Pelodiscus sinensis: one gene and its partner. The protein of the gene in region 1 interacts with the protein of each later gene in a biochemical or structural test. Links are inferred from orthologs where the notes say so. Each region holds a gene or a part of one and is shown on either strand. Other genes may lie near its edges.

Region 1 (15,277 bases):
GCTATAGAAATCAGAACCAGGAGAACGAGAAAGTGGGGAGACACAAAAAAGACCTTAATCTGGGTGCAGGGAGGGAATATATGATGAAGATGGTATATAATGCAGTATTGCAGGGTGACTATATGATACAGTATTGCAGGGTGGATTACTGCACCCAGATTTTTCCTATCAGAGGAAAGTTTATTGCAGTCCAAGTTCATCTATAATCAAGTCTCATGCTTCAAGGTTTCAGACAGTCCACTGCAAGGGTCAGAAAGGAGTTCTGCCTCCTCCCACCCCCAACTGGCTAGATCTAGTCCGTTTTGGAGGGATAGCATCAGAGATTGGACATAGCTGGAGATGGGCCACTGGACAGGCTAGTTGACTGCTGTAAAGTGGTGCAAAGAATCCTATGTCTAGAGATCTGGCTGGTAGGACTTGCTCAGGGTCATACTGACTGCCAGGTTTGGGGTTGGGAAGGAAATTTCCCCTGAATCAGATAAACAGGGACTCTGGGTTTTTTGTTTTGCTTTCCTCTGCTACATGATGCATGGTTCACTTGCTGGGATTATCTGGACATATCTCTCTTTATCACTTCCCCGCCATTGCAAGGGCATTGGTGGCACCTTGGTCTCTCCTGTTCTCTTCCTGTGGGACACAGCAGCTTAGTCTCCTCAGAGCTGAAATGCTTTAGCCTACTGGTCTCACGCACCATTGGGACAACTGTGTGAAAAGCAATGGCCTATGTTATACACGTCAGACTAGATGATCTACTGGTCCCTATCGTTTGAATCTATGCAATTCCAATGACTCTTAGGGTGCATTTAAACTGCACCCAGAGCTTGAAATAAGCAATGCAATTTGAGCTATGCAAATTGTGTAGCTTATTTCAAGTCAATTGTGAAATAGCTTATTTTGAAATTTGGCGCTGTCTACACAGCACTTCTTTCAAAATAAATTGCTATTCCAAAATGTCCCTTAGTCCTCGTGGAATGAGGTTTACAGGAATGTCGGAATAGTGAACCAATATGTTTTGAAACAACAGGCACACTTTAAAAAAGCGCGGAATAGCTATTTTGGGATACCTTTGGTATCCCAAAACAGCGTTGTGGTGTAAACATAGCCTTAGTGATAGGAATTAAACTCCAAAATATGCTAATCCAAAGGAGGGGAGGAAGCCTGTGCTTGCGAATGGATGATCCTAGACTGCTCCTGGCAGCTCCAAGTACACTCCCTCTCAGACCATGCTGTTTTGCACTAAACTCCCTTATGCATGGAGAAATCCGATATGGAGCATGGGCCCTTGTGTAACCCAGTACTACTCCTGGGATACACAACAGGCCACCTACTGCTGAAGAAAAAGTATAAAGAAGAAAAGGCTGGCTCTGCAGGCAGCTTTTGAGGCCTCCAACAAGAGCAGGCCTGATATAAATGCTGGAATAAATGTGCTATGACTAAGGGATGGTGTGCATGACAAAGTCTCCTCTCCAAACAGGATTGAAATCTGGTCCCAGGAGTCTAATTTTAATTAGGACACCTAAACCTTTTAGTCAGAGAGAGGGAGAGGAAGAGAGAAAATTTATTTATCCAGGTCAGAATTTAAGCTTCCAGCTGCGCTGCAGAATTTATTAGAACAAACAAGATGAAAGCATCCTACCATACTGCTTTTTGTTTTTATTCATTTTCTAGTGCTCGTAAGGGAGCTGGACAGAGAGCCCCCTATTGATTATCCAGATATGGCATGAATACAACTGGCAAAAGCTTCTCCCGGCACTGATCTTTAGCTCTGGTCTACTGCAATCCCCAAGACTTTGAGGAGGTAATTCAGCCTCCAGGTCCATTCAGTCCTCTGCTGAACTAGCAGCAATACTACCAACTGTGGTGATGAAGAACTATTTACTGGCAACTGGGCTGAGACTACTAACCCATCTTTGTGACCACTGAAGAGACTTCAGATGGCAAGGACTTTCAGACACAGCTGACTGAGGTTGGACTTCAACTGGGGATTTAAAGTGAGAGACCCTGCTGCCTTTTAATAATCCTTTAAACCATCCTATATCCACAATATTGCTCAGGAGTGCATACAACACAGAATTAGGGATGTGAAAGGGTAACCAGTGAACAAGTAAGCATCACCCGTTATCTGGTGGGGGCTGGAACAGCTTCCCGCCTGCCGGGCCTGCCATAGATATGGGTTGCTCCAGTCATCTGGAGCAGTCGCTGTTCATAATGTGCGCAGGTGCACCACACAGGCTACTCTGGACCACTGGAGCAACCCCTGCCTGCAACATGCCCAAGCCTGCTGCCGACAAGGCCAGGCTGGAACAGCCCCTGCCTGTGGCCTGGGGGACACTCCAGTTCACTCACCTCTCTTTTAGTCAGTTAAACTGGTTAACATCACATTTAACCGGTTAACCAATTAAACAGGAATTTACATCTCTACACAGAATGCAAGGAAAAGTTTTACTTTTTTTTTTTTAAAGGGAGAGGAAAAAAATACAGCTAACTATCTCTCTATAATTTCACAGATTCTGCAGGACTGGATGGCTTAAAGAACTTCTGATAGGATAAGCAACACCTTCCACCTCTTGACCACTGGCCTATCTAGCATTTCCAAAGCATCACAGTGTCTAGGAGCCTTTTCAGATTCTACCAGATACAATCCAACCCTTGGAATAAATTCCATTCTCAGTTATGCCCAGGCAAGCTAGAAAGGTACAATCACATGGTGGTCAGTGGGATTCCACTGACGTAGGTGACAGCTTCCATGATGGTCTATCTCCTCCACAGCTGTTGTACCTGAGGAAACCGATCCAGTGTTCTTCATCTAGTGGAATGTACACCTGGTCTACACTCTGCACCACCGCTCCATCCTTGATCCACAACATCTCTGGTTCTTCTACTCCCTCGAGGCTGCAATTTAATTTTACCGGCTGACCCTGAGACACCTTTAATTTGATTGGCGATCCTGTCAATTTCATACCTAAAAAAAATAAAATAAATAAAAATAAAAAAATACTCCTCCTCCACAGCCCCAAAAGAAGTGGGGGTTGGTATGGAGCAAGTTTATCTAGGTTGGGGGTCTGAAAGGACATAATGTACAAGAACACACTGCACAGTTTTCTAACTGCCTCACCAGAGCCTTATTATGTTTGTGTCATGATTATAAAATGAGAATACTGGCATTCTGATTACTTGAAAATGGTGGAGGCTTAATCTATCCAGGGCTTCTTCAAAACCAGTGCCAGTTTGGATAGCAGCAGGATGAGCTTCCACACAGCAGTGCCCAGGCACAGCTAGATACGAAAAACATGAGCTTCTTCACAGCAGTGCTCTGGCAGTGTTGATGTGTGTGTTCCCTCAGAATGATATCATGCTGCCCCCCCAAACGGTTTTTCACTTTTCAGGGGTTATGCTATGTTCCTATACTACAAATAAGGCCTCACTTCTGTTCCACTGTGTACGCATTTGTAAAGAACTGGGATTTTAGACTCAATCACAGCAGGTCGCTCAGTGTAAACTGTTCTATTGCATTACAAAAGCTCCAATGCAATTTATAAACCAAGTGAAAATAAAACTTACTCTAAAGCATTCCTATTGGGGAGGGGAAGGAACGGTTTCCAGAACACGTTTCCATTTTTCTTCAGCCAGCCATTGCGTATTTCCAGAACAGAGACAAAGGGCCTAATCTGGATCTGTTACATCAGTATAAATTTGGAATAACTCATCTGAAATCAGTGGAATTACTGTGACTGACACTGGTGTAAAAGTGATCAGCATTTGGCTGAAAGCGCAGTTGTGTGTGGGCGGGAAGCACTCCCCTCAATGAGAAATGAATGTGTGGAATGTGTCACCTTGCAAAAAACACAGAAAGCAACTGGGTAAGTAAATTTTTGAAAGATGGGCAGTTATATGGAGAATGAGGGAAGACCTTGATAAAGCAGAAAGATGGACGACAAAGGTAAAGTATCCAGTCCTACTGGATACGTGTCCATTAGTACAGGGACTGGCAAACTAGAACAGAACAATGGTTCAGGTTAGCCCAGTATCCTGCCTCTAGCAGTGGACTATATTGGATCCTTCAGAGAAAGGTTAACCTGTCCACCACTCTATTGCCCTAGATCCGCTGTGCAGAATTAAGATACTAGCTCTGCTCATATGCAGCTAGATCTATCATCAGATGACATTCCAGCCCACAGCACTATGATAGAAAAACACTAGCCTGTAGAAGCCAAGATTGCCCTTAATTAAGCATGCAGCCACACTATTCTCAAACTTTTTTCATAGCATGAAGTGTATTTGAATACAGAAATGGCCTGCTGCCTGCCCTACTTCCCTTTGCTCTTACACTGCATCCCTCGGTAACAATAGCAAAATCACAGTGCTCTCAGAAAAATATTGTGTGTATTTTCAGCTGTGTTTTAGCAACTGTAAAGAAGGGTGAGGAGCTGTTCATTTAGCAAATGTACTAATAGCACCGAAACTCATTTAACTTTAGATGCAACAATGCTTTGGTTGGGCAAAGGAATTAATCACCTGAGTGAGGACGATCTAACCTCAGATTACTTAACTTGAAAGTGGCATAAATTACACATCCCAGTGCGTCCCAGAAAGCATCCTCCCTCTCACCACGCAGAATACTGAAACAGAGCATTAAAATTTCACAATACAAAGCCATCTGTTTTATATAAACCCAATGTAGCCAGGTATCCAAATGCACACACAAATTGGCAGATACTCTTTCATAATAGGTGCCTTAGCAAACAGCAAATTACTTAACTTATTCCAATCTGCTTTGCCGAAAGGTTTAATTACAATGTACACAATATGATATCTGGAAAGCCTTTACAGGTTTCATTTCCCACCCAACCTTATTATGCTAGAAATTAAAATACAGTGCTAATGTATACTCTATTTGACTATTTTCTACAGCACTTCTGTGTAATCAATGAATAGATCTTAACTGAAAGGAAAGGGAAAATAATAACCTTGGAGTTTTTAACAGATACACATTTTTTAACAGATACACATAAGATGCAGTTTAGCTGCAGCACCTTTTTCTGAAGAGAAGGGAATGATGCATACAAGTTGGCTGTGAAGAATCAGCTATAGATTTTTTGTGCACTTGAGAGGTTAAGATTAATATTTATTTCTCATTATTCCTCCTCCTACTCTCCATTTTTATATCAGAACATTTTAACTAGTGCAGGAAATAAAAAAAACTAACTTTTTCCCCCCACAATGTGACAACTGTAGAAGATTCATAACTGATTAGGAAATGAAATCATATTAGCTTCATACTGCTCTCAGACAGAACAGACAACAAATGAGTGCTCCGGTTATCTCTCTCCATGCAGAGTGTATTTTACTATAACAACTCTGTAGTACCTTTTGATTACTAAAGACAGAAGTTTTTTGAAGTTGTTTTTGGAATGGCAGGAGAAACAGATAGCTGCAGACTTTTACCTAAGGCAGAGACCTTCCATTCCTTTGATACGTGAGGGCCCCAATCTAGCAATCAAAATCTACAAGGCAAACCCTTAAAACCAACAGTGCTCCACCCATGTGGATCTAAACGTAGGATTGAGGCCTACATTCCTAGCTAAGTCAATGGGAAACGTGTATGTGGAAGGATTAGGCTATAAAATCAAGTCCTTGTATGTCTACTTGTAGCTGAAACTAGGAAAATGTAGGCTGGAAGGAAAATAAATAAAAGCCATGTAGGAATGGATTATCACCTGGCCTCCCTATATAGCAACTTGAGCTCTGCAAATACAGGAACAACACTGTGCAAACAGTCCCACTGATTCACTTAACTGGTATTCAGGACTCTATTTATTCGCAACCATCCAGGTCTTATTCAAGAGAATAATTCGCAGCAAGCATAAGGTTCATAAATTATAAGTATTGAATCAGTATTTCCTCCGAGCATTTGCGTGAGAAGTGCTCTCACCATTTTGGAAAGCTCTTCTTATTAGTCACACACAGTCAATCATTGATGGATAATTCACAAACAGAAAGGGGACGTCTGTATATTTTTTAGGCTAATGGACAAGATATTCGAATCTGGATGCCTCAAATTAGGCTGATAAATCCATAGAAATGTATGGCCGGACAGGATCTCAAGAGGTTAAGATTAGGCATGCTTACACCCTCCTCAAATACAGGCACATAAATAAGCAACCTGAATTTCAAAAGAGTGATCAGCAGGTCCCAATGAAGTCAATGGCCACTGCAAAGGAAATTGTGTTTGGGAGATAAAAAACTGAGGCCAATATTTTCAAATGTAGGTGCCTATTTTTGGCTACTCCACCCACATTTGAAGCACAGATGGCCTGATCCATAAATGGTCTATTTGTCACCACTTTTGAAAACTAGGCCATTTATTTAGGTGCTGACATATGGATTGAGGATCTTCACTGTAGGCACTCATTTAAGTCTAAGTCATCCCATCAGGGGGCAGAAACATTGCCATGCCAGCTGGGTGACCAATCATAGGGTGCAGAGAGCACATATCTATCCCATTTGGAGAAGGCATAGGCACACAAAAAAATGCACAAAACCCTCCGTGCCGTTGAAAATAGCCACCAAGTTCCTCAAAGTCAAGACCTGCTTAGGGACAACTGGGAACAAAACAAAACGAAGCCAGGGGACTGGTGTGATTAGTTTGCTGAAGACAATTCAATGCAGCAGCACTAAGAGTAACTCCTATCCCTAGACCCACAGCCCTCCAGAAAGCTACCAGTCACCTCCCTCTCCTCCCGGGGAAGAACGTGGCGTTCGCCAGGAGGCGGCTGACTTGTCCCACCAGCCGATAAAGAAGCGAGCGCGGATCCAACAGGCTGCCGGCTAGAAGCGCTGCATGAAGCGCTGCGTCCGGGTCTAGCAAGGGAGCCCCCCACCCCTGCGCGCCGTCCGGACGCAGGAAGTGGAGTTAGTGCAGGGCCAGCGGGAGCTTTACACACCTTGGGGAGGGGCGGCCCCAGCGCTCCGCTCCAGCATGAAACTGGAGGACGAGGGCTGAGTGCTGGGCGTCAGGCTCCAAAACAAGGCGGCGGCAGCAGCAAAGCCGCCGAGACCCCCTGGGCCAAACGTTTTCGCGTTACCCCTCGGAAGATCAGCCCCTTGCAGGGCCCGCCCGGCAATTCTCTCGCCTATGCCCCTGCAGCGAGCCCGCCCGGGCAGCCTTACCTGCTTCAGCAGCGGTATCCCGGAGTGCCAGAGCCCATAGTCCCAGCACCAGGAGCCCCGGGATCCCCATGCTCTGCTTCATCTCCATCGCTCCCGCATCTTCATCGTCAGCATCCTCCCGCCCGGCTCCACGCCGCCGGCTGCTTCGTGCTCCCACAGGAGGGGGAAGGGGGGGGACCCCCAAAGCGAAGCCCTTTCCCAGGACGCTCTGAGGGGAAGCTGCAGTGCAAACTTCGCTCTCCGCTGCACTAGGCTGGCGCCGCGGGAGCGAGCCCTCGCCAGCCCGTGGAGGAGTGTGTAGGGGAAGTTTCAGGAAGCCCCTCAAATCCCGATCGCTCAGCCTCTCTCTGCCCAGAGCGAGTCACTGAGCACGAGAGGGAATGCGAGGCAGAGCGGTCTCCCTCTGCTGGCCTCGGGCTGCATGGAGCCCCTGCAGCCGCGGCTGCCTCGGCTCTGGGCACCCGCTGCTGCTGCCGCTAATTCCTTCGGCTCTTCTTACTCCTGTTCTTCCTCCTCTTTCTCCAGGAAATGGCGCTGCCAGGCAGTCACAGAGCTGCTCTGCACCCCCACACCTCCCCGTGACATCACGTCTCATGAATATTTATAGAATCTATTTATTATCCAATCTTCCTGAACTTTTAATAAAGTGGAAAATAACAGATCTACGGAGTCAGTGTCTCCCCCAGGAATTTCCAGACGGAAAGGGATAGTGGAGATTGCATCAGTCAAAATATAACCTACCTTTCTGGCAAGAGTTTATTTGCAAGGACCAGGTAATTCTTTATATGGCTTTTAGCTCCCTCCCCTCTCCAGGAAATCCTTTGGTGCGATTTATTATTTTAAATAATGCCAGCAGGCCAGCTCTCTAGTGACCAACCCTACAACAAACAAGGGGCATGATGTCCACTGCACAGGAAAAAATCCATTCAAGAGAAGGAGATTGGAGGGAGGGGATTTTTTAAATCAAACTTGGGTGCTCATTTAGGCTCTAAGTGCAGATTTATGTTCCTAAATCAGAGGCCTGATTTCAGAGGTGCTGAGCATTCATAAATAATGAAATAAGGGAGAGTTGCTGGGGATTTGGACAGTGCATGTGAAAATGAGGTACCTTATTTTGGTGTCTAACAATGAATTTCAGAGACTAATTTTCCTAGGTAGCTTTGTCTGAAAGTTTTGGCCTGAGTTTCATACAGCAGAAGTTCCTCTGACTTGCACTCTCTGAAGGGGTGAGGGGGAATGGATTATGCTGACACAAGAACAACTGTGTGGGTCAGACCCAAGCCCAGAAGATCTTTCATGCCCTGAAGAGGCCTGGGTTATCCTGTACTCCTGCTTTCAGGGCACATGTCTATTCACAGCAAAGCCTTCAACCCTCCAGAGTGCCTGCAGCAGCCAGCCATGGAAGGTAGTGCGGATTGGTGGGCAGAGGTATTTCCTAGAGAGGTATTTCCTCTCAAGGCTTTTGGTGGGGAAAATATGCAATGGCCACCTTCCTCCCAATCTGTGAAGACCAGTCCCTGCAGCTCATCTGCAGAGGAGCTTTGGCAGAGGTTGGGGATATTCTGTGTTTCGGAGACTTGGTTGGCTTAATTTGGGCCCTTTCTGCTTGTTGAAATGTAAGGGATGATGTAGCTTATGAAGAGGGAACCATTTCCATGGAGCTATTTCTGTGAGAGGGAAAATGTCTCTGGAAGGCTATAACAAAGACCCCGACACCAGGGTGCTGAAACAGAGGTGCTGCTCAGGCCCACAGGCGGGGGAGGGAGGGGAGAAGAGGGTAATTGCCCTGGGGCTCAGCAATTTAAAAGGACCCAGAGCTCCCAGATATTGCTAGTGCTGCAGTGGCAGCATCTGGAGGCCTGGGACTTTTAAATCATCGCTGGAGCACTGCATGGCACATTCCAGGTGGCTTTGATGGCTGGGCTGGGCTGTGTGGGGGCATGCACTGCAGTCCGGGTGGCATGAGGGCTGGCTGCCTTAGCTCCATCCATTCCACCTGAGACAACGCCCCTTCCAGGAGTGTGGAGCTGGGCCCCCCTTTTGCTCAGGGTCCCAGTGAGGCTGTCGGCCCACCGTGTTGCCACACACTTCGGCTTGAGTGGTTTCCATCACATACAGAGTTTACAGTTTGGTCAGTGGCTCTCAGCACCTCCCTTGCCCCCCATAACACAAATTGTTCCAGCACCCCTGCTGTGACACTGTGCTTTCATCATTGTCCCTCTGAAAGGCATCATAAGTAGCATTGTAGCACAATGCAAGTCTCAGATTTGTAATAATAATAGTTACTATAATGTGTGGCGTTTATATGGTACTTTCTATTTTAGGCTTCCCCAGACAGCATTTGTGAATTAAGTCCACTGTGAGGAAGGAAAGTATTATTATCCCCATTCTACAGATGAGAAAACTGAGGCACAACAGAGCGACATATCTTATGCCTTAGGCTCTGGTCTCTGCATTCTACAAATCCTCACTCATTTGCATTTCTGTTAGGAATCCCTAGGGTGTTGCATTTGTATTTCTGTTAGGAATCCCAGTGCCAAGTGGGGGTCCATGACTGGCATGAAAATGGGTTTTCTCTCCCTTCTCTGTTTCTACCATCTGAAATGAAAAGGCAAGTACGAGACACTGACAAATCAGGTATACCGAAGAGCTAGCATGGTTCTCATGGGGCAATGAATCCATGACAGATGCTTTGTGGGGACTGTGATGCTCTTGTTAATTCTTGGGCTATGATGCTTAGTGTGCATGAATGCTAAAAGCATACAGCACTTCTGGTATAATCACCATAGCTAATCTCTATCTCTTCCTTCAAGCCATATGTACAAACTTAGCTATATATGCTCTATATTGATGCACATATTTATGTGGGATGTTGCTTATTGAAAGTAGCGATATTCTCAAGGTTTAACAGCCTTGTGTGTAGATAATGGGCATTATACTAACACTTGGCATTTCTACATCACTTTTCATCTAAAGATTTCAACTGTTGAGGTTTACATATGTCCCAGTAGCCCTCTGGTATGGTTATCAATATTACCAACTTAGAGATGGGGGAATTAAGGCACTGATAAGTAGGAAATTCAGATATAGACGAATGAAGTGAGTTGATCAAGGTCACGGGAGTCATAGCATAGTTGAGGATTGACCCATATTTCCTGATTCCCAGTCCCATTCTGTAACTATTAAACAATGTTTCACCTACAAGTGTGCTCAGGGCCAAGATAATAGAAACAAACTCCAGATGGACAGAGAACAAGATGGAATAATAGAAAAACTGACACACAGAAAAAGAGATCTGACCTCCAAGAGATTTATATGCGATATAAACAATTGTTTATAAAGATTTTTATCTTACATACAACCCTGTCTCCTAATCTTGGTAGTGAGTTTGGGAAAAGGCAAGAAACCTATAGGGAATGTACTTAAATGCTGCTGGAGAATCTGAAATAGATGTTTACCTTTTTATGGTTATTACTTTAAAAGTTTTTGAGCAGTATAGAATAAATTGGTCCAAATGTTTGCTGGATATTATTTCCTTTTTCTCAACCAGCTCTCATTATCAGCATCCCAAAAACAAGCCTACAGGAACAGCTTTATCTGCAAATATAAGTATGTAATGTGAACATTTTGTTAAGGGCCATAGGCCTGACACTCACAGCTCAGCATAGCTCTATTGAATTCAATAGAACTACTTTGACTTACACCAGCTGAGGTTCTAGCCTCACATCTTCCCAGAAGTGGGTTATAGCCGCAGTGATAAGGAAGAAGAACTGTATGAGAACTGGACTGAAATCCTGGATGCTTTGCCAGTTGGATTGCAGATTGTTCTGGGAAAACTGACAGAAGAGTGCTATATTACCAAGAAGAAATCAAAAAGAACTTGTGACTTTTGAATGCTTTGAAGGATCATGAACAAACTTTGCTTGCTTTTCAACATCAATGATTTTGGGCAACAGTGCCCTTGTACTGTTGGCCATAGACTACCAGGCTATGTCTACATTACGGGGGTTTTCCAGGATACCAGAGGTATCCCAGAAAAACTCCACCATGTCCAGGGAACATGTCTGCTCTTCTGCTTTTTTTTGCGGAAGAGCAGATGTGCTCTTTCGGAAGCCCTGTCTTCCTCCCATGAGAAAGAAGGGCTCTTCCGAGAGAGGAGGCTTTCCCAAAATTTGGCCAAGTGTAGACGGGACAAATTTTGGAAAAGCCTCTTCTGAAAAAAACTATCGGAAAAAGGTACGCTAATTGCAGGGTACACAATTTGCATACCTTTTTCCGATACATCAGTGTAGTATAGACATAGCCCCAGTGACAGTATTTATTACATATTGATTACAATGACTCATAATTAATCTGTCACTTTCCTGCTTGTCATCTTCCTCTATTTTGATATTAGGGTGTTTATGTTTCACCTGACCTATTGGATGTTTTATATAGATTTTGGCAAAGGCTTTGCACTACAAAGTGACTTTGCACTACAAAGGATCAAGTACCAGGAGAGCATGTTGAAATTTTTTTGAAATTCAAAATTTTGTTGAAAAAGTTAGTGATAAAATTTTCATTATTTCCTGCCCCCCCCCCTCCCCCCGCTTTTTTGACCAAATACAGAGCTAGTCAAAGTGTTGACAAAGTTTTAAAGGCAAGAGGAAACTTTTTCTTTTAAATATTGGCCAGATTTTTTGGCAGTTTTTCAATCCGCTCTAATTACAAGGGTTTTGCTGAAAAATGCACCTACAAAAGAAGAACCAGCCATCAAAAGAGAAAGCAGCTTTGTCTTCATCACAATCACAACCTCTCTCTGAGGTCTGCAAAATAAAGGCCTCACTTTAGTGTCGCACAGTGTCCCTATTCTGCGTCAGAAGGGATCAAGTTTTGCAAATGCTACTAGATTACATCCATCTTTGGTTTTGCTGCAGCTATCCCCTTGCAGGTGTACACAAATTCCTGATGCTTTAAATGAGGTGGTCTTCAAACAGCTGACATAATTCACACTTAGATGTGAATGTCCAGTCCTATCCTTTCTCTGACGTTAGTGACAAAGGGCACAAGTTGTTCCTTCAGTAGTCAGAAGATAGGCCTGTCATCCTACATAAGTAAATTGAAGTGCTGGCAGGAGTGACAGTGAAGTGACATTCAAGTAGCAGGAGTTGCTCTGCTCTGCTGGGAAGGAGATCCAGGATGACTGTTCAGATGCTTTCTGAGCTGTCTGGGGATGGCTGAACCAGCACATTCCGCACCAGATCAGAATGGGAGATGCATCATGCTTTTTGTTTTGCCAAATAGCATGAATGAGCTCTCAGGTTTCCCCAGCTGTGTGGGCCTACTAAGGGTAGCTTCTCAATATATGCCCCAAGGCATGGTCAAAGGGGATGGGGGAAATTGGTGGGAATCCTTAGGGTTTCTCAAGCATTCCCAGGGATGTAACCAAGGAGATGGGGGATATGATGATAGTGGTAGGGCATATACCTAGTGAACACTACATTGAAAAGATTAAATTAATTGGTTTGGCAAAAGTTATCTCCCATGCTCTGCCCAGCCCATCATAGTAATGAGCTGTTTATAGGGTTGACAGGTGTCCGGTTTTGAACCGGACAGTCCAGTATTTGAGCTTTCTGTTCGGGAAACAAATTGAGAAAATATAAATGTCCGGTATTTTTTAAATAAGATGTAATGTAGATTGTGATGTAATGTCAAATGTGGTCGGTATTTTTGTTGAAACCATCTGGCAATCCTAGCTGTTTACATAATATAGTATTGCACAATAATAACCATTCTAGGGACCCACTTATAATATAGCTGTCCCCTGACATAGTTGATACCTGGGTCAGTCTCTATTTTGCACCTAAATATCCTTTTAACAATGTCCCCAGACTGACTATGCTAGAGTCTTGGACAGGTCTGGGGCTTTCACACAGTTAATAGATGTAGGCTTCAGTTATGCTAAAAGACTGAACCACATTTTAACAGTGCTGGGGGTACTTGCACTGTAACCATGTTATCTGGCTTGATTGTGACCTCAGGCTGGGAGTTATCTTTATCCACATCAAGCCCCTGACTTTCACTTAAATGTGTATGCATCCAGCATTCCTTTTCTGTTTCCTTTCATGTTTCCTTCTCCCTCTCCTCTATCTCTCGATCACCTCCCTTCTGGGAAATAATGCTGGAATGTGTCCAGTTCTTGTATTTCTGGAAGCTACAGCCTCCTCCAGTTCTTAAGTCTTCCATATGTCCATCGTTTAACTCTGTGCATGTGTGTATGTAAAGGAGAAAGGGAATCATATTAAACAGACTGCACTACTCCAGCTAAAAATAATTAGAGATGAGCTCAAGAAGATACAGAGCTCAGATCTGACTCTTGATTGGGATTTAAAATCTCCCCATGTTCTAAGTGGTAGTGGGGAGTGCCATTCAGAGCTGAGGTTTGGGCTAACTCATTTTAGTGTGAATCTCAGTCTGAACTCCTTCCCAGGTTTGAGGTTTACAGTTGAGATTTTTGGCATGACTCCATCTCTAAAAACTCCCCCAAACCTAGACCTGGCTCTTTTAAGCATTTGCACAGGAAACTCTAAGCACTTTTGTAGACTAAAAGCATCATGTAACTTTTGCAATTAGTGCCTACTTGCCGAAGTGGTAGGCACTTACATAAAACATTTGTATAAATAGATAAAACTCCTATAAGACCGAGACAACGTTTTGATTGCAATCACCATTACTTACAGATTAACTTTGTGTTGCATATGTGAAAGCAATCCCCCCTATCTCTCTTGTGTGGATATAAATGCAGTATTACAATACAGAATAATTAAACAGAAAGGATTTTTACACAATGAAACAGTCAATGCCATAAGAAATCCCTATATATGTATAGGTACAGATATGATCTACAGGTAGTTCAAATTACCAATTTCAAATTACAAGTAGATATATAAGAAATGATTTGGGAGTAAGTATTTGTTAACAGTCCCTTAGTGGACAATTTTTCTTATTTATTTGCCCTATGGTGTTAAAACACCTTGTTTCTGAAAAATTCTGTAATGCATTCTGTATCTATGGACGTGCACTGATAGTCATTTCTGTGATCCACCCAACAACATTTCTCGGTTTTGTTTGGGGTGAGAGGATCACTCACTCATTGGACGAGGTTTGCAATCTGAAGCGGTCCCTTAGCAAATCCGGAGAACAGCCAGCCACTTTGGGTTCATTAAGATTGTGGAGCTAGGAAATGTTTCAATAACTCTGAGGCCCAGTAGACCTCAAGCCTTGTCTACTGTTGCTAACCACAGTTCAGCTTCCACTGGTGGTAGAGCATCTTGTTGTAGATATGTCGTTGGCTGCTGCCGGTGTTTTAACCAGACCTCCTCTGAGCAGGGTTAGATGGCACAGAGGCCGGTCTGGCATTACACTAAGGCACCTTTACCATGATCTGGCAGCATAAAGGGGCCTTTTAGGTAGTAGAAACAACACCTCAAGGATATCTCTGCATAAAGGGCCTCCTGGCCAGCATAGAACTAGGATGATACAGGCTGTGCTCCCAGCCCCTGATGTTGGGGCCCTGGAGTGGGAAGCTGAGAGTGGGCCAAAGGATGTACCCCAGTACACAATGCTACAGCTGTTTGTTTCCCAGAACCCACAGAAGCCATGGGAAGCAAAGGGTAAGTTAGAGCAGTTCTGAGGTTGCTTTAACTGACACTCAGGTCTGTGGCAACCTCCAAACAGCCTCAGATTATGGGGCGCATACAGGTGACAAAGATCACCCAGCTTTGGCCACCCCCTTCCTATGCCGGGTGTGGGAATGGAGTAACTGGGAATCAGGGTCATAATGCTAAAAATGGTGGTGCTAACCAGCATTTAGTCTACATTAGTGCCCCAACGTGGCTAACTCTGAAGAGTGGAACTGGGGTTAGCAATTGTAAGAAATGTTTTATTGACAAGGCCTGTGAGCATGGTGGGGTAGGAGGAAAGGTGGGATGGAACATCATCTTTCCTTTTACTGGTAAACGTCAGTATTTTGGGGCATGACCTTACAGTGACAGCTCTGGATGTGCAGCACCTTTCAGTATCAGGTCCTTTGTTTCTACAAATGGTCCATTAGAGTAGTAGATATTTT
Region 2 (15,627 bases), on another chromosome or scaffold:
TTCCACTGTCTTTAATTTGGCCAGCACATCAACCTTATTTTTGAAAGGCTAAAGGCCTTCTTTGCATTTTGATTGTTGTTTAACAATTTCACAATCATTCTTGTAAAAGTCCTTTTTAAACCATGATGGAAATCATGTGGGTTTTTTTACTTTAATTCTGTGGTGCCTGGCAAAAATACCGTTTTGCTGATAAGCAGCATACGGCATATCTCAGAAAACCACCATGCTGGACAACATGGAAAATGAAAGCATGTATGACCTTCAGTATTTTCTGCCTTTTCAGGGTTTTTTTTTATTTGGAAATTGCTCATCTGCACATTGGAAGCGACATGCTGTTATATCTTAAGCATGTATCTTTGAAATGGAAGAATAATATTGGGGAGAAAAAAACCTAACATTAAGGCAAATATGGTGGACACACACACCTGCCTTTAGATTAAGATTTTATTCGTGTTCCCATCATGTGCTCTGGGTTCAGTCAAAGTAGATCATCTTGAACTTGACAGGCTTGGAGAACACTGTACAATTATTATCATTTTGGTAAGATGTCAACAGTTAGTATCCTAGCTATACATTACGAACAAACTTTATTAGTGAATTATTAAATTAATAGTTTTAATGCATAAGAAGTCACAAAACTCAAGTTAGGCAACATTACCTAAGGCATGATGCACAGCTGTATGTTTATCGTGCAATTGAAGCCAAATCTGGATCCCGTCAAAATAATTTCAAAGTAATGGGCAGCTTATTTTGGTTTTTGTAAACCTCATTCCATGAGGAATAACACCGCTTTCAAAATAGCTATTTTGGAATAACAATAGTGTGGATGTTCCACTGCTGCTATTTCAAAATAGCTTTTCCCCGAGGTCATTCAGAGTAATTACTCCTCAGTGCCTTTTGGGGCTCTAAATCAAGATAGTGCATCCACATTAGGGGAGCCTGCCTCATACTAATTTCCAGGCTTCCCTGTAGTATAGACACACTATTTCAAAGTAAGCTATTTCAGAGTATTTCTTCCAGAATAGCTTATTCCAAAATAATTAGGTAGTGTAGACATAACCTTGGAGACTACCTTCTTCCTAGTTTTACTGAGGCATAAAAAAAGCAAAAATCTTACAACCTGTTATTGCAATGTACTTTTAGGGATTCAAATATCAATAGCTTCCATTTTCTCCCTTCCGTGTAATAACTGATTCCAGGAGTTGTTTGTACCAGTAGCTATCTGATGCTGAGATAGTGGATCACTTTGTTAAAAACCTGTATGCTCCCTCATCACAGAGTCCAGTGAATGCTACCTATTGTTTCAAGGGCTAGCATGCTAGTTCTGTTTCTCACAGTTTCTTTTTTTCTAGGCATTTCCCCTTACATCTGGCTTTTGTGAGACTTGAAAAACTTAATGGCAGTCAATAACAAGGTTCAATCTGATCAGCAGCATTACATCTGGACACTAATTCTTCAACAGATACAGGCTTGTAGGAATTTGTCTTCAAGGAAAAACATGTCATTGTGCAGAGTTGCTGATCACAGTAGATATTAAAGATGTTGCTTACTAAGTAAGATATCAAGCTATTGCCAGATATGTTGTTTTAGAAAACTATTTAGAATTAGGATGCCATTAAATTATTCCTATATAATTACGAATAATGGTGTTTAAACTGGCAAATAAACTACAGGCCACATTCTCAATATGTTCATATCTTTTCCTTACTTTCCCTTTTCCTTTCTCTGTGGATGCCATTATGAGAACCGTCCCCTAATTCTTTCATAGCATGACGCACATCTCAACAGAAAGTTCACCATGAGAACCATGTCTCCTTTCTTTTATGATTGCACAGGCTACCTCCATTCCCACAGGCTACTCTTTCTTTCTGGAGACTAAAGCAATAGTTTACACAGGGGAAAGTATTATGAGAAAGACATCTAATGTATTTTACCTCCTTTTAGTGCAGTTTAGCAACTGAAAACAAGGGGAGTGACAGCTCCATGTGACCAGACAGCTCTGAGAATCACGAGAAAGTGCTCCATGGACCAGTGTTTGAGAATTATCATGTTATGACAACTATTTGTTTCGCACCAAAGCCAGTGAAAGGCAAGATGGCACCTATCTCAAATGTATATATTTTAAGATATCTTTAGAAAAATCAAAAGTTTGTGAATCTGAGGGAGAAGGAGAGAAATGGGGTCTCATCTGCACCAAAGGATTTAAATTGTCCAAAATGCTATGGGAGAAATTCTGGCACCATTGAAGTCAATGGGAGTTTTGCTATAGGGATCAGTGGAACCAGAATATCATTCCTCATAATCAATTTCTTGTTTGATTATTAAAGTTAATGAGAACTATAAGCTAACTATATGGGACACATTTCAGAGAATGGTGTATGTGCCAATATGCTTATGTTCTCATGTATCCCAAACAATTCAGCTACTCTGGACAAATCTGCCCACCACTTTGGGGCAAATATGTTACACACACTTTTATCTGGAATTGACACACTACAGGAGTTTATATTAATCATTATATTTTAGCCATTTTTTCCTAATTTTAAAATTTCCCTTGACAGGGAATCTTGAACTTATACATAACCCTTAACACTCAGTAGTAATGTATGCAGAAGTGAAGTTAGCATTTAGAGGGATGTATGATCTACACATTGTTTTTGATCAAGAAATAAATTATGCATTTTCTTGTGAAATACTATAAATGGATTTTGTTTAGGGCTGGATAATTTTATGACCCATATTTGTTATAATAAAACTTTGTCTTATATGACATTGATGATGCTCAGCTTTATAGTACCTGATCCAGTCCAATTAGTTGGTTGCCCAGCCTAGTGTTTGGATCACAGTTGCCCAGGAATTCTTGTTTTCCCAAGAATCAAGGTAGGGAGGAAGCAGGCTAGGCTGCTACATTTTTCATGAGAGAGAAAGGAAAAAAAGGGAACAGAACCTTCCAGTTTGTGAGGAGCCAAGCTGATCCATCCTGTTTCATTTCCTTTCCCACCTCTCCACCATTCTCTGCTATGAAAAAGTGGCAGTTCACTCTGCTTTCTTTCTCTTAATTGCTCACTGGTATGGTCATATCATTGAAACCTGCATAATGTAGATCCACTGGACCAAAATACTGGCTTGAGTGCTGGGCCCCATTCACTAACTACTTCCTAGAACCATAGTACTGTAGTAATAAATCACGTGTCTGAATGCTTGGACTAAGGATTCTGTACTTCAGTCTTATGCCTTTTGGCTTCAATAATCAGTCCATGGGCTGATCCCTTTGCACTGTGCACTTTACCTCAGGATTTGACCTTAATAGTTGGAGTGACCGTGCCAAGAGAGAAAATATATCCCTGAATTAACATCCCATTTTGTTTATGCCTGAAGCCACTTTTGAATTTCAATTACAATTCTGACCTCTAATTAAAGGAAATCACACTGAGCTGAATTCAAGACAGCCACGATGGGGACAACTTTACAGTTTCCTGTCCTTGAAAAATATGATTTATTTCTTGGCATCACACTGAGAACTGCAGTTCCAACAGTAAGCAGCAAATTCCAGATCTTAATGTGCTAAGCATATTTTGGCGCATTCCTAGCTGGTAGTGTTCGGGTGTTCGGGGTTAACAATCCTGAATTTTACCTTCTTTGTTATAAGGATTTTCACATTTAAGCATGCTATTTTCCACCACCTTTAAATTTCAAAAATATTCTAATGTAATTTTACATTTTTTGCTATAGAATGTAGAAAATTTTACAGCTATAACTTACAGAATTTTGATGGAGACAAAGGCTGAGGAAAAAAGGAGACTGAACATTTATCATTAAACTTGAAGGGATGAAGCTTTCATTGGTGTAAATGTTGATTTCATCATGCATAAACCAACAAATATTTCCATTGCTACAGTAATAGAAATTTATAAATAAGCAAAATGAGAAAAATACTGCTTGAGATCTTATTAGCATTTCATATAAAAATATTTACTTTATGTATTTATCACATGTAGTATTGCTAATTTGTGAGTTTTTTAATGATTACAAAGCTTTATACTTTTTGAATCTCAGCATCTACTGCCATTAAATAATTATTATTTGATCTCCTCCAATAGTGTCTCACAATAGTGAACATTTAAATGAATATTGAAAAGCTTTAAAATTACCACCAGTGTGGTCAAAATTATAAAAGAATAAAAATCTAAAGGTTCGTCTAGATTGCATTGCTCTTTCAGGATACCGGAAGTAACCTGAAATAGCAATGCCACGTCTTTAAAAGTGCCTGATATTTCCCAAAATAGTGGGTGTGCTATTCCAGCATCCTAGTAACCCTCATTTCATGAAGATTAAGGGATTTGTCAGAACAGTGCCTTATTTTGAAATCTGGCACAGTTCAGACAGCGCCAAATTTCAAAATAAGCTCTTTCGATTTAGACTCAGAATAAGCTATGCAAAATGCGTAGTGCAAATTGTGTAGCTAACTCCGACAGAAGGGTGTTGTCTAGATGCACCCTAAATCTTCCAAGTCTACCCATCATTTCTAATGATGGTGCTACAGCTCAGGTTTGAGGCATTTTAGTCATGTGGGAAAACTGTGTAACTCAAAAGATAAAGGCCTTCATTCTCCACTGAGGTCAGACTAGCATTTTTCTTTAACAATAAAGTACTTTGTAGGATGGTAAAGAGTCCCTGTCATTCACCTAGCTGAGGGAGGGCTGTACAAGGGGAACAATTCCTTCCTGACCTCCACAGTTGACCATCTTTTATCCTGAAGCATGATTTCTGATCACCTTATCACTCTTATCAGTATCTTATCTCCCACTTTACAGCTACATTGTGCAACTACAAATTGTATCACAAAGTTAACCACTTTTTAGAATTTACAGTTACAGGATTTGGCTGAATTAATTCTGTAGCAGTGATTTTTCACAGACCAAGAATACATGGCATAAGGAATAAACTTAAAAAACAACAAATAGTCTTGCAGCCCCTTAGAAACTAACAAAAAATGTAGATGGTATCATGAGCTTTTGTGGGCACAACCCACTTTAGAAGAAGTGGGTTGTGCCCACAAAAGCTCAAGATACCGTCTACATTTTTTGTTATTCTCTAAGGGGCTGCAAGACTGAGGTTTTTTAAGTTAGGGTATGCCTACACAGCACACTTATTTCGAAATAAGCTATTTTGGATTTTTTCCCCCAAATAGCTTTATTTTGAAATAGCACATCTACACTACAGGGGAACCTCAAAATTAGTCCTAGGCAGGCTTCCCTGATGTGGATGTGCTACATCGATTTAGAGCACCAGGAGGCACTGGGGAGTAATTACTTTAAATGGCCCTGGGGAGGAGCTATTTTGAAATAGCAGCACTACTGCTATTCTGAAATAGCTATTTCAGAATAAGTGTTAGTCCTTGTGGAATGAGGTTTACAGATTTCAAAATAAGGTGTCCATTATTTTGAAATTATTTCAAAATAACAAAATTGCTTTGTAGATGCTCACATTGTTATTTCAAAATAACTGTGCTGTGTAGATGCACCCTCACAGACTAATAGTGCTTCCCCTCTGAAACTTTTGAACATGCATGGCACAAAGAAATATCTATAACTTGTTCAAACTATTAATATTCCTTTATTTTTAAAGGGGCCAGATGAAGAAGAGCGACGGACAAATACTTTTCAGCACTGTGGATACCTTAATCAAATACTGTTTAAGTTTTTTCCTTACCAGTTCAAATTAAAAAAATGTATAGTCTCTTATCAAGGCCAACCATTTTTATATTCTCAGACATTTGTGGTGACCCTTGTCATCTCTTCTATATATTTCTTAATGTGCAGTGACCTGTACGCTCACACTTGCAACTAAAGATTTCTGTGCCCATACAGTACTTCTTTAAAGTCATTCAGGGTTAAAACTGGACACACAGGCTGAATATAATTATTTAATGTAGTGTTGTTTTAATGTTGTATGCATTGTTTTCAGCTAATGGCCTCCAAGGGGAAAACATGCCCTTAGAACTAATTTCATGTTTTAACTGCTACTGTGTTCTGAGCAGAAGCATTTATGCATATTAAAATCTCGTATTATATTTTAAAAATATTCAAACATCATTCATTGATCAATCAGTTTGGGGCTTTCCCCCACATATTTACATAAGCCTGAATATTGCAGATATTTGAAGGATTTACAGCCTCTCTGTGCTACCCATCAGTGTAATGCTGAGGAGTCATAGGTAACTGACAGATATGGGAATACATCATCTTGGTTAAACCAACATCTACCAAACTAGCTCTAAGTTTTCCCCTGAAAACATTAAACTGAAAAGTGGAAGGTTTATTGTGAAGAAAAATATATAGAGGGAAATAATCTATTTTAACTAGAAGTGGGTTTGGTTTGACTCCTCCAGCTTTATTCCCACTAATAGTTGTAATCAATTTCAGTACTTAAATGCCATCTGATTTCAGAGAGAAACTTCCCCCTCCAAACTTTTGGGTAAAATATCCCTTTAGGTATTAATGCCACGGCTGTGCTGCTCATTTAGCTCTCCCAAATCAACTACATCTCAACCGGTGTTTAAGAGATGCACAGCAACTAGCCGCCCCACCACCAAGTAAAATCCTTAATGCTGAGTCTGAAACCTGCCACCCAGTTGCCTCACGTTCAGGGATTCCTGACATGTAGACAGCTGAGCAGACGCCCAAGCACTTGCAGACTGGGATGTGGCTCTCCAGGGCTCAGGTACTATGGTGACGAAGGCCAAACAAGGCAGCGAGGGCAGGGGATTGGATTGGGAGGCTGATTACCCCTTGGCCCCACGTGTGAATGCCCTATGAGGATGGACTGGGGGGGGGGCAGCCCTATGAGGATGGACTGGGGGGGGGCAGGACCGGCCTACAACATTTTGGCACCTGACACTGGAGCTCAAATGACGCCCCCTCGCTGCACTAGCAACAGACACAATTTTCTTCACCCTGGGTCCTAGTGACGCCCCCCCCCCCCCCCCCCCCCAGTCTGGCACCTGAGGCGGCTGCCTCAGTTCGCCACATGGTAAGGCCAGCCCTGGGGGGGAACCAGCTGCATTTGTCCCCTGAGGGCACAGGTCGGTCGGTTCCCGCTGCACCCTGGCCCCCCGCCAGCCCTGCACCCCCGCGGCGCTGCACCGAGCCCGGAGTGATTGGGTGAGAGGCGCGAGCGACTCCCCGGCCGGGCTCTCGCAGCCGCCTGGCGCGCGCGCTGCTCGCCCTCCCCCCCCGCAGTAGCCGCGCTCCCTGCGCTCGCGCCGGACCGCCCCGCTCCTCCTGCTGCCGCCGCCGGTCCCAGCAGGGCACAGCCCAGCCGCAGCATGCCGCAGCCAGCGGCTCCCGCGGCCGCCCTCCTGCTGCTCCTGCTGGCTACGGACTCCGCGGCGAGTGAGTGCCTCGGGGGCCTCGCCTCCAGCCCGCTCGGGGGGGAGGCGAACGTCCCTTGCCCCTTGAGGAGCCCCATCTTCCCCCCTCCCCAGCCGCGGCAATGCACCAGTCTCTGCGCCTGTGTGCAGTAAGGCAGGAGCTTCCTCCCCTTGCTCCCAAGGGCGCCCAGAGAGCGTGCGGAGGGGGATGGCTGGGGCGTTTGCTAGGGACGCGGTCTGGCATTGTGTGGGCGACAGGGTAGTGGGGGGCAGGCTGGGGAATCCCCCTGGCTGAGGGGGGTCTGGGGGAGCAGTAGCTTGGTGACTGCCCCAGGGGGAGTGCATGAGTGTAGCGGCGCAAGGTGCAAGCGGGGCGTTGCATGGCTGGGGGCTGCACGGGGCAGTGCCTTGTCTGCCCAGTGTTGGGGGGGGGGGGTGCATGACTGTGTCTCGTGCGGCACGGGGGACAGTACGGCCGGGGCAGTGCTTTGGGAGTCGGCCCGCGCCATCGGTGTCTAGAGCGGGCCAGGCTGCTGTGCACGGGCTGGGCTCGGTGAGGGGGGCACGCCCGTGCCATTGTTCCGTGAAGTTCCCAGCGGGCGGGTCCCATGAGCTGACTCCTGTATTTACCGCTGCTTCTCCTTCCCCGCTGTCCCTGTGCGTGGCTGCGGCCGCAGCCGTGTTGCTGCGAGCCACCGAGGCTGCCCAGTTCTTGCGGCAGAGACAGCGCCGAGCCTTCCAGGTCTTCGAGGAGACCAAGCAAGGCCATCTGGAGCGGGAGTGCGTAGAGGAGCTGTGCAACAAGGAAGAAGCCAGGGAAGTATTTGAAAACGATCCTGAGACGGTAAGAGTTGGGGGTGATAAGCGGCGCCTCCGGTACATTGAGGGTTTTACTGTCAATCTCTCGCGCTCTGGCCACAACTGGAATGAGGGCGCCAGCTGTCAGCACAGCTGGAGAAGTTGTTTGGGGGAGGAGGGGAGCCATTAGATAAATAAGTGAAATCACAACACTTCCCTTAACTGCGGTTTGTTAGGATTGTCAGACCACGCAAATATAGCATATAAAAGGAAAAGGGAAAGTCCGGTTAAATTTGCTGGGCTGACATAATTTATATGCCATTGCTATTTAAAATGTCCATATTCTCCATTCAGACTTAAAGGGCCAAATTCACTCTGGTATAACTTCAGCACCTCCAGGGAGTTACGCCAAGGTGACATAGTGTTTCAGTATTTCTGTCTGAACATCTGTGTCTTCCCCTCTTCTCCCATCCCTTGAATCCTTTTAGCTCTGCCCCAAAACAACATCAGAAAAGAAATTTCTGGGAAGAAATACGTCATAAACAAACTGTAAGACTTTCAATCCATTTTTAGTGGGTACAGTAGTTTGAGTTTTTGCTTTAGGATTGGGAATGCTCTAAATGAGAAGACGGGAGGACGGAAATAGTGACTTTTATAGCATTTTTTATAAAGTGGCTGTTCTGTAAATCTGAATGGCATTTATCTTCAAATTCAGTTACATCCTACAAAAACAAGGTACAAGTTCTCCTGAGTTTTTTTTTATCTTAAGTATTCTTCTTTTGTGGCACTTTCGTTATAGTAGTCTTGTTTGGCTGACCTTTATTTTCTTTTCCAATTAGCGTGCATCTTCTGGATGTCCTGTTTTGAATAAACTGTTTCCTTTTGTGGATTATCAGGGATTAGTTTAGTGGTAGGGAGTGAAATTCTTGGAGATCATATTGGGGCTTAAAATTGCACAGTGAGTTCTTGTTAATGGCTTGATGCTTTTTGAGTGGAAGGAGTTACATGGTTCAGGTGTGGTGGTATGGGGAGTGAAGGCCGGACTTGACCTTTCATTTTGAGTCAATGTCTCATATTTAAGTGAAAACATGTCTAGACATGTATACCTTAATAGGCTAACAGTGCATTGGCTGCATTACATCACAGTGCAATGGATAGTTACAAAACAGAAGTAAAAAGGAAGAAATTTGCAAACTGATTCTAGTGCTGATTTTACTTCTGTCTGTTCAAGAGTTTAAGATCAAACTCCTGTTTATTTAGGCCTACTAAGACTGCCTGCGTGCATACTCTGGCACCCAGATACAACAGTGTTTGGTGCTCTGTAAAAAAACATAGATTGAACACAATATAAACAGTTGTAATGGCGTGTCAGACTGGATGACACAATTATTTTCCATACTCCTATTAAACTAAAACCTTTTAGTAGAGTCTTGCACACATTTCATGAAGGTGCGCAGAGAAAATAAAAAATCCAGAATGTGAACTTTGACCATTCATAAAGTTAATCTGCGGTCATCAGTTGTATTTATTGGATTTTCGCCAAGAAAATCGGCAAGGGTGAGCAAGTGCATATGAGATTTGTTCAGTGGAAGGGTAGACGGCTATAAACATAAGTAACAATTATGAATAATAATACTTGGCACTTATTTCACACTTAGGAAAATGTTAAAGCTTTGTTCCTGTTTTGAAGACAGTGAAGTAATTTGGGTTTTACATCTTACCTGTAGCTGTAAATGAATTCCCTGAGACATAACCATATTACTTAAACACCTTTGAGTAATAAATATTTAGCAGTTAATGGTTTGCTTTATATTCAGGCCTGGCCCTAGGACAAGGTGAGCAAAGCAAATGCCTTGGGCCCTGCACTTCCGGGGCCCGTGCTGCTGAGTATTCACCATCCACCAGCCAAGCCTGGGGCCCCGCTCCCAGCATCCTGCCTTAGGCCCGCAAATCCTTTGGCCAGGCCTGTTTATATCTGTGGTTTTATTGTATTGTATTGTAGCTGGTGGGTCTCTTTCTAATTCTAAAATAAAACACCTTTAAGGGAATATTGTTAAGGCTGACAGGCCTGCATATTTGTGTCCACTTGCATATTCTCAATGCACCCAAAATGTTATGTTTTTAAAATGCTCCATGCTCTGCCGGTCTTCTTCTGAGACAGCCACCAGCCCCTTTCCCTCCCCACACCCAACATGCTGAATTTGTTAGCAATTTGCACTTGCTGGTTTTTGCCTCAAGACAGATTTTATGCCCATTCCAATCTAGTTGCAGATCAGTATGTGGCATAAAGATGACACTAGTTATGCTGTTTGACAATCAACTAACAATTATGGACAGAGGTAAAATATCTATGTTATTATTACTGCATCAATTGGGAGGCTTCAGTGCTATTAATCATAAGTAATTACAGTAGGTAGCAGGGATTGATGAAGCCCCATTAAGATAATACTGCTTCTCCTTTGACAGAGCCTAGAAGAGTATGATGTACAGTTGTTTTTCATCTTTTAGTGCTCTCAGCTGAAGAACTTCGCACGACTTAATCTTGTCATCTCTCTTTCTTTTCATTTATATGAGGCAACTGGGAGAGGGGTTGCTAGATGCTATGATCTGTGATGCTATCAATGCACAGATGACAGTCTTATTCTGTTGACAGAGAGAATCAGAGATCTCTGTCTCTGAGAAACAGCTGTCTCAGACTCAATTCAGGAAAGATGGAAATGAAGTTAGATAGCAGTGCATTGCAGGTTGAGGAGCTATCAGTAGCTGTGACTTCACTTCTCGTCAGAAGATCTCTGTCCTTAAGTTGTTAAAGATGGCTGGAGATTGCATCTGTGAGTTTTGGGTGTGGGCCTACCCACAGTGATCTTGGCTTTGGCCATGTCAAGAGACAACTATAGTGCCTTTATTGGCTGGTCTTGAAGGCTAACCAGAAAGGTAACTGATTCAACAGACCCAATTACAGAGTGTCAGGAATACATAATTCCAACACTCTGGTTTATGGGTGGGGTTTATCCAGTCCCAGGTCTGTTCCAAGCTCCTGATCCTTACTTTTAAAGCTCTAGATGATCATGGGCATAGTCACATGAATGACTGCTTCACACTACAGTTTACACATGACAGCTGTGCTTTCTAAGGAGTCCCAAGGTCTAGTCTACACTCCTGAGTTCTGTCGACTTAATTATGAAAGTATCTATGCTTAAATTTCGCTTCTGCCTCCATAAGCACCTTGCTATACCAACATAACTCCACTTTCAGGAGCTGTCTCACAGTGCCCTATATTGGCAGTACAATCAATACATTGCTGGTGAGGACACAGACTGCTGACACGAGCAAAATGCAGACACGCACAAGCAATGTAATTATTGCAATGGCTGTATGCCAGTATAAATTAGGTTGTCTTAATTTTGTATAGTAAATGTAACCTAAGGTTTAGTCTAAACCCATTGCATCCAACCAATTTTCAAGCAGTAGCCACTATAGTATAGTGTAGGAGTGTTAGCGAGTAGTCAACTGGAGTGTTAACTACTTCCTTCCCCGCCCTTTTCTGCCTCTATGAGAGGCAGCGAGGTGCAGGGGGAGGGAACAGGAACCGGTGTTGAGGGGAGCTGGCTTAAAAGCCAGTTCCCCCTAGCACCAGCTCCTCGGTGCTGCCTGCCCCAGTGTGGAGGATAGAGAAGGCTGCAGCAAAGCAGCCTCTGCCTGTGATTGGCTGAAACTCGCCGTGGGCAGAGGCTGCTCCTGCAGCAGCTCCTGTTCACGACCAGCCCTGGTTGCTGTATACAGGGGTGTAGGACTCAGTGCGAGCTGGGACTGAGCAGTCCCGGCTCGCGCTGGTCTGGGATGCTGCGCCTATGCATTTAAATATAGTAAAAGTCCAGCAGCTCTTACTGCTTTTAAAATGCAGAGCCACAGCGCAGGTGGCTCCCAGAGTCAGAATGAGTCGGGCTGCTCAGTGCTGGCTTGAGCTGGCTCCTGGAGCTACACCCGCTGTGGCTCTGCATAGCGGTCCTTATCGACTCATTATGTAGTCAATACAAATTGTATCAATTACACAATTAGTCAGATAACCATAATGTAACGTCCCTGCTATAGTGGCTACTGCTATAGCAAGCTAGCCACACTCAACCAGCCAAATAGCCACATTGTTCAAGCCAACTAGCCACATTCAACTGGCCAAAAAGCCACATGTGACTAGCATGTTGGACACCATGGGTCTAAACTAAGGTCTTGTCCACATGAGGTAGCTAGAACATAGTAAACATGGGTGTGAATTTAGTACAGAGTTATTTTTATGCTTCAACTCTGCATGTCAACATTCTTACTGCATTCTAAACCTCTGGAAGTTTAGTTTACTTCATGTCCAAAGTGTATTAAGCTAGTTTGCAAAAAGGCACTCAGTAAGAGTCTGTGGGGGAGTTAGTACAGAATAGTTTACTATAAACATTTTTCTTATGTAGATAAACCCTTACATTTCATGATATGATATGAAATCATATTAGCTAGTTTAGTTTAACTAATATCTTCAAAAACTTTTAGTCATGACAAGTCAAGTTGTACTTTTGTGTGTGCTAAGGTGGTCAAATGTAAAGTGTAGATTTTCTCCTAATCCTAAAAAGTTTACGCCAAAACCAATTCTGGCATTTTTCTCATGGAATGATAGTTCTGTTGACCCAGTAAACATAAATTAAACATTTTGGCTTGCAACTACAATAAGTAGGATGACTACATGGTTGTTATTTTGATGTCTTGCATGCATTGTTTAGAAGCACACGTGCAAACAGATATTAGTAAAGATGTAAGCTCTCTTTAACTTGAATAATGGTGTTATCGCATTTGTGATTACTTGTAACAACTCTAGTTATATTATAGCAGGTAAGATTAAATAACCATTTATTTGCAAGTAAATACAGCTTTTTATTTTATATTAAGGAGACTATTGACTAGTCCTAGCCTGTGAGAGAGAAGATCATTTATTACATTTCTAGTCTGAAACTTTTTCCTATTTTTAAAAGAAAACAAGATTGTTCTATCTATATGACTATAAATGGCAAAAACAAATACACGCTACATTGACATAGTCTTGTAGATTATCTTTTAGATTAAGCTGAATGAAAAATATTTATGTATAGGCTGAAATGTTTTGGAAGCTAAAAGAAACGAGAAAAGTAATTAAAGAGAATTTCAACATAATATCAATGGAGAAAAATAAGAAAGGGAGCATGTTAATGGAGGAAGATTGCTTCCTAACACTACATTTTAAATAGATGAGCTAGGTGTGATAAATAAGGTTGCAGTTGCAAAACATCTTAGTTATAGAGATAAAAGACTGTTATCTTAGTTAAAATGTTGATAAGAGCCTTGTATAAAAGGTAGTAATAAACAAATATTTGCCTGTAGTATTCACTATTAGGTGCTATTAGCTTGTAAGCCTTCTGATAAACTGCTCTGAAATTTGACTGACCTATTCTGAAAATGAGATTTACACAATTGTACGAGTAGAATGAAGGGTGAAAAGGAAAGTGACTAGCAATTTTTTAGTGAGCATGGATTTCCCTTTTAAAAAAGTGTTGTAGGTCAAACTTCATATGAGGTGGGTTAGGATGTTGACCCTTGTTTTCAACAATTGTTGCTGCTACTGAGCTGCCACAGCAGCTATTTGTAACAATGCTCACTGGTTTCCATTGTTATTATTACCAAAAATTACTAGTATTTCTCCACTTAGCTCCTCTTCCATCTTTTCACCATTACATTCCTTCCTACTTTTCTAATGTGATATTAATAGTTAGATATCTGTATCTACATCTCTATTATTAGAAGTGTGACCTAAATATTTCAGCTTCCAACATCCTTCCTAGAAGAGTGGTGTACGGTTTCAGAAACTGTAGTCTATGTTTGTAACTTAACTGTGTTGTGTTGCACACATGATATGATGGGACAGCAACAACATTCATGCTTAACCAGACCTATCAACTGAACTATACACTTGACCTTTATTGTACACTGGCCATTGGTCCAGTTTCATAAACACAAATTCTTGGTAAGCTCAGCTGAATACAAAGAATGTTGAGAGGTTTTCTGTTCTATACATTTGAAATTGCATTACAGTAAATCTTTTAAGATATTGGGCAGATTCTCAGCTAGGGTAGATCAATTTAGGTCTATTAAAATCAATGGAGCTGTATCACTTTACAACAGCTGAGGATCTATCCCTCTGTGTTCACTGTGCACATTTAACGTAATGTAGAAAACCAGTTAATATTCATGTGTGTGCAGGGGGAGCGGCTGACTTCCTAAAGTGCACCTGGATAAATTCTGCTGCGGATCAGAGAGTTCACATCCTTGTAGCATTTAGCACTTATGTTTTGGCAAAGATGTAGACAAGAGACCTTGTGTAACTATGCACATTATGTGGCATAATTCACTTATTGCCTAATGGTCACTTCTTGTGATGGAAAACAGAAAATGGCATCTGAGATAAGAAAGCATGAGGTTTTTTTTCTTCTAATCCATTTCAAACAATTATTGCATAATCAAGAACTGTCTCAGACTGCCAGTAGAAACCCTCATTGTCTGATGTTTGACTTCTATTCAACAGTGAATCATGTGGATGTTTCTTTCTTTTGTTTCCTCTTGTTCCTGTCTTTATAGTATTTTTTTAATTCATGCAAACTTGGTTTTGTGGTTGTAGGAGCCAGACACAATGAGACAGTACATTAAGCCATAAGAAGCAGGGTTGGCCATGAAATAAAAGGATTAACATTCTGTCTGTTTTGATGAGAGTACACAGAGTTTGGAATTGATTAAACTGATAGCGGCCAGCAGTTCTATCATGTAGGCCTGGAGTGTTGCTTGCCTACCCGTCACTCAGGGGCTGTGTCTACATTGGCCCCTATTCCGTAATAGGGATGCTAATGTAGCACTTTGGAATAGGCAAATCCGCGGGGGATTTAAATATCCCCCGCGGCATTTGCATTAACATGGCTGCCGCTTTTTTCCAGCTTGTAGATAAGCCGGAGAAAAGCGCCAGTCTGGACGCGATCCTCCAGAAAATAAGCTCTTTTCCGGAGGATCTCTTATTCCTACTTTCAAGCCGCTTTTCTCCGGCTTATCTACAAGCCGGAAAAAAGCGGCTGCCATGTTAATGCAAATGCCGCGGGGGATATTTAAATCCCCCGCGGATTTGCCTATTCCAAAGTGCTACATTAGCATCCCTATTACGGAATAGGGGCCAATGTAGACACAGCCAGGGTGTCTAGACTACATGGCTCCATCGATGGAGCCATGTAGATGAGTTTTCTAGACATAGCAAAATGAAGCGGCGATTTAAATAATCACCGCTTCATTCACATAAAAATGGCTGCCGCCAGGGCCGGACAAAGGCATGGGCGAGCCGGGCAGCTGCCCAGGGCACCAACCGATGGGGAGCGCCTGATGGCAGCTGTAAGGAGTGTTCGGCG

What was found.
Region 2: the proteins of TYRO3 (region 1) and GAS6 form a complex in vitro, tested with the Homo sapiens proteins (2 studies listed by BioGRID). The link is inferred for Pelodiscus sinensis from reciprocal best matches to the Homo sapiens genes TYRO3 and GAS6.

The regions. Positions count from the first base shown.
Region 1 is NC_134714.1:65,020,438-65,035,714, reverse strand, and holds the start of TYRO3 (tyrosine-protein kinase receptor TYRO3), read right to left. Parts: upstream 7,673-15,277; 5' UTR 7,259-7,672; coding exon 7,171-7,258; intron 6,913-7,170; exon of another isoform or gene 6,797-6,912; intron 2,963-6,796; coding exon 2,779-2,962; intron 1-2,778. UniProt on the Homo sapiens protein: Receptor tyrosine kinase that transduces signals from the extracellular matrix into the cytoplasm by binding to several ligands including TULP1 or GAS6. Regulates many physiological processes including cell survival, migration and differentiation.
Region 2 is NC_134711.1:236,675,870-236,691,496, forward strand, and holds the start of GAS6 (growth arrest-specific protein 6), read left to right. Parts: upstream 1-7,233; 5' UTR 7,234-7,327; coding exon 7,328-7,394; intron 7,395-8,049; coding exon 8,050-8,216; intron 8,217-15,627. UniProt on the Homo sapiens protein: Ligand for tyrosine-protein kinase receptors AXL, TYRO3 and MER whose signaling is implicated in cell growth and survival, cell adhesion and cell migration.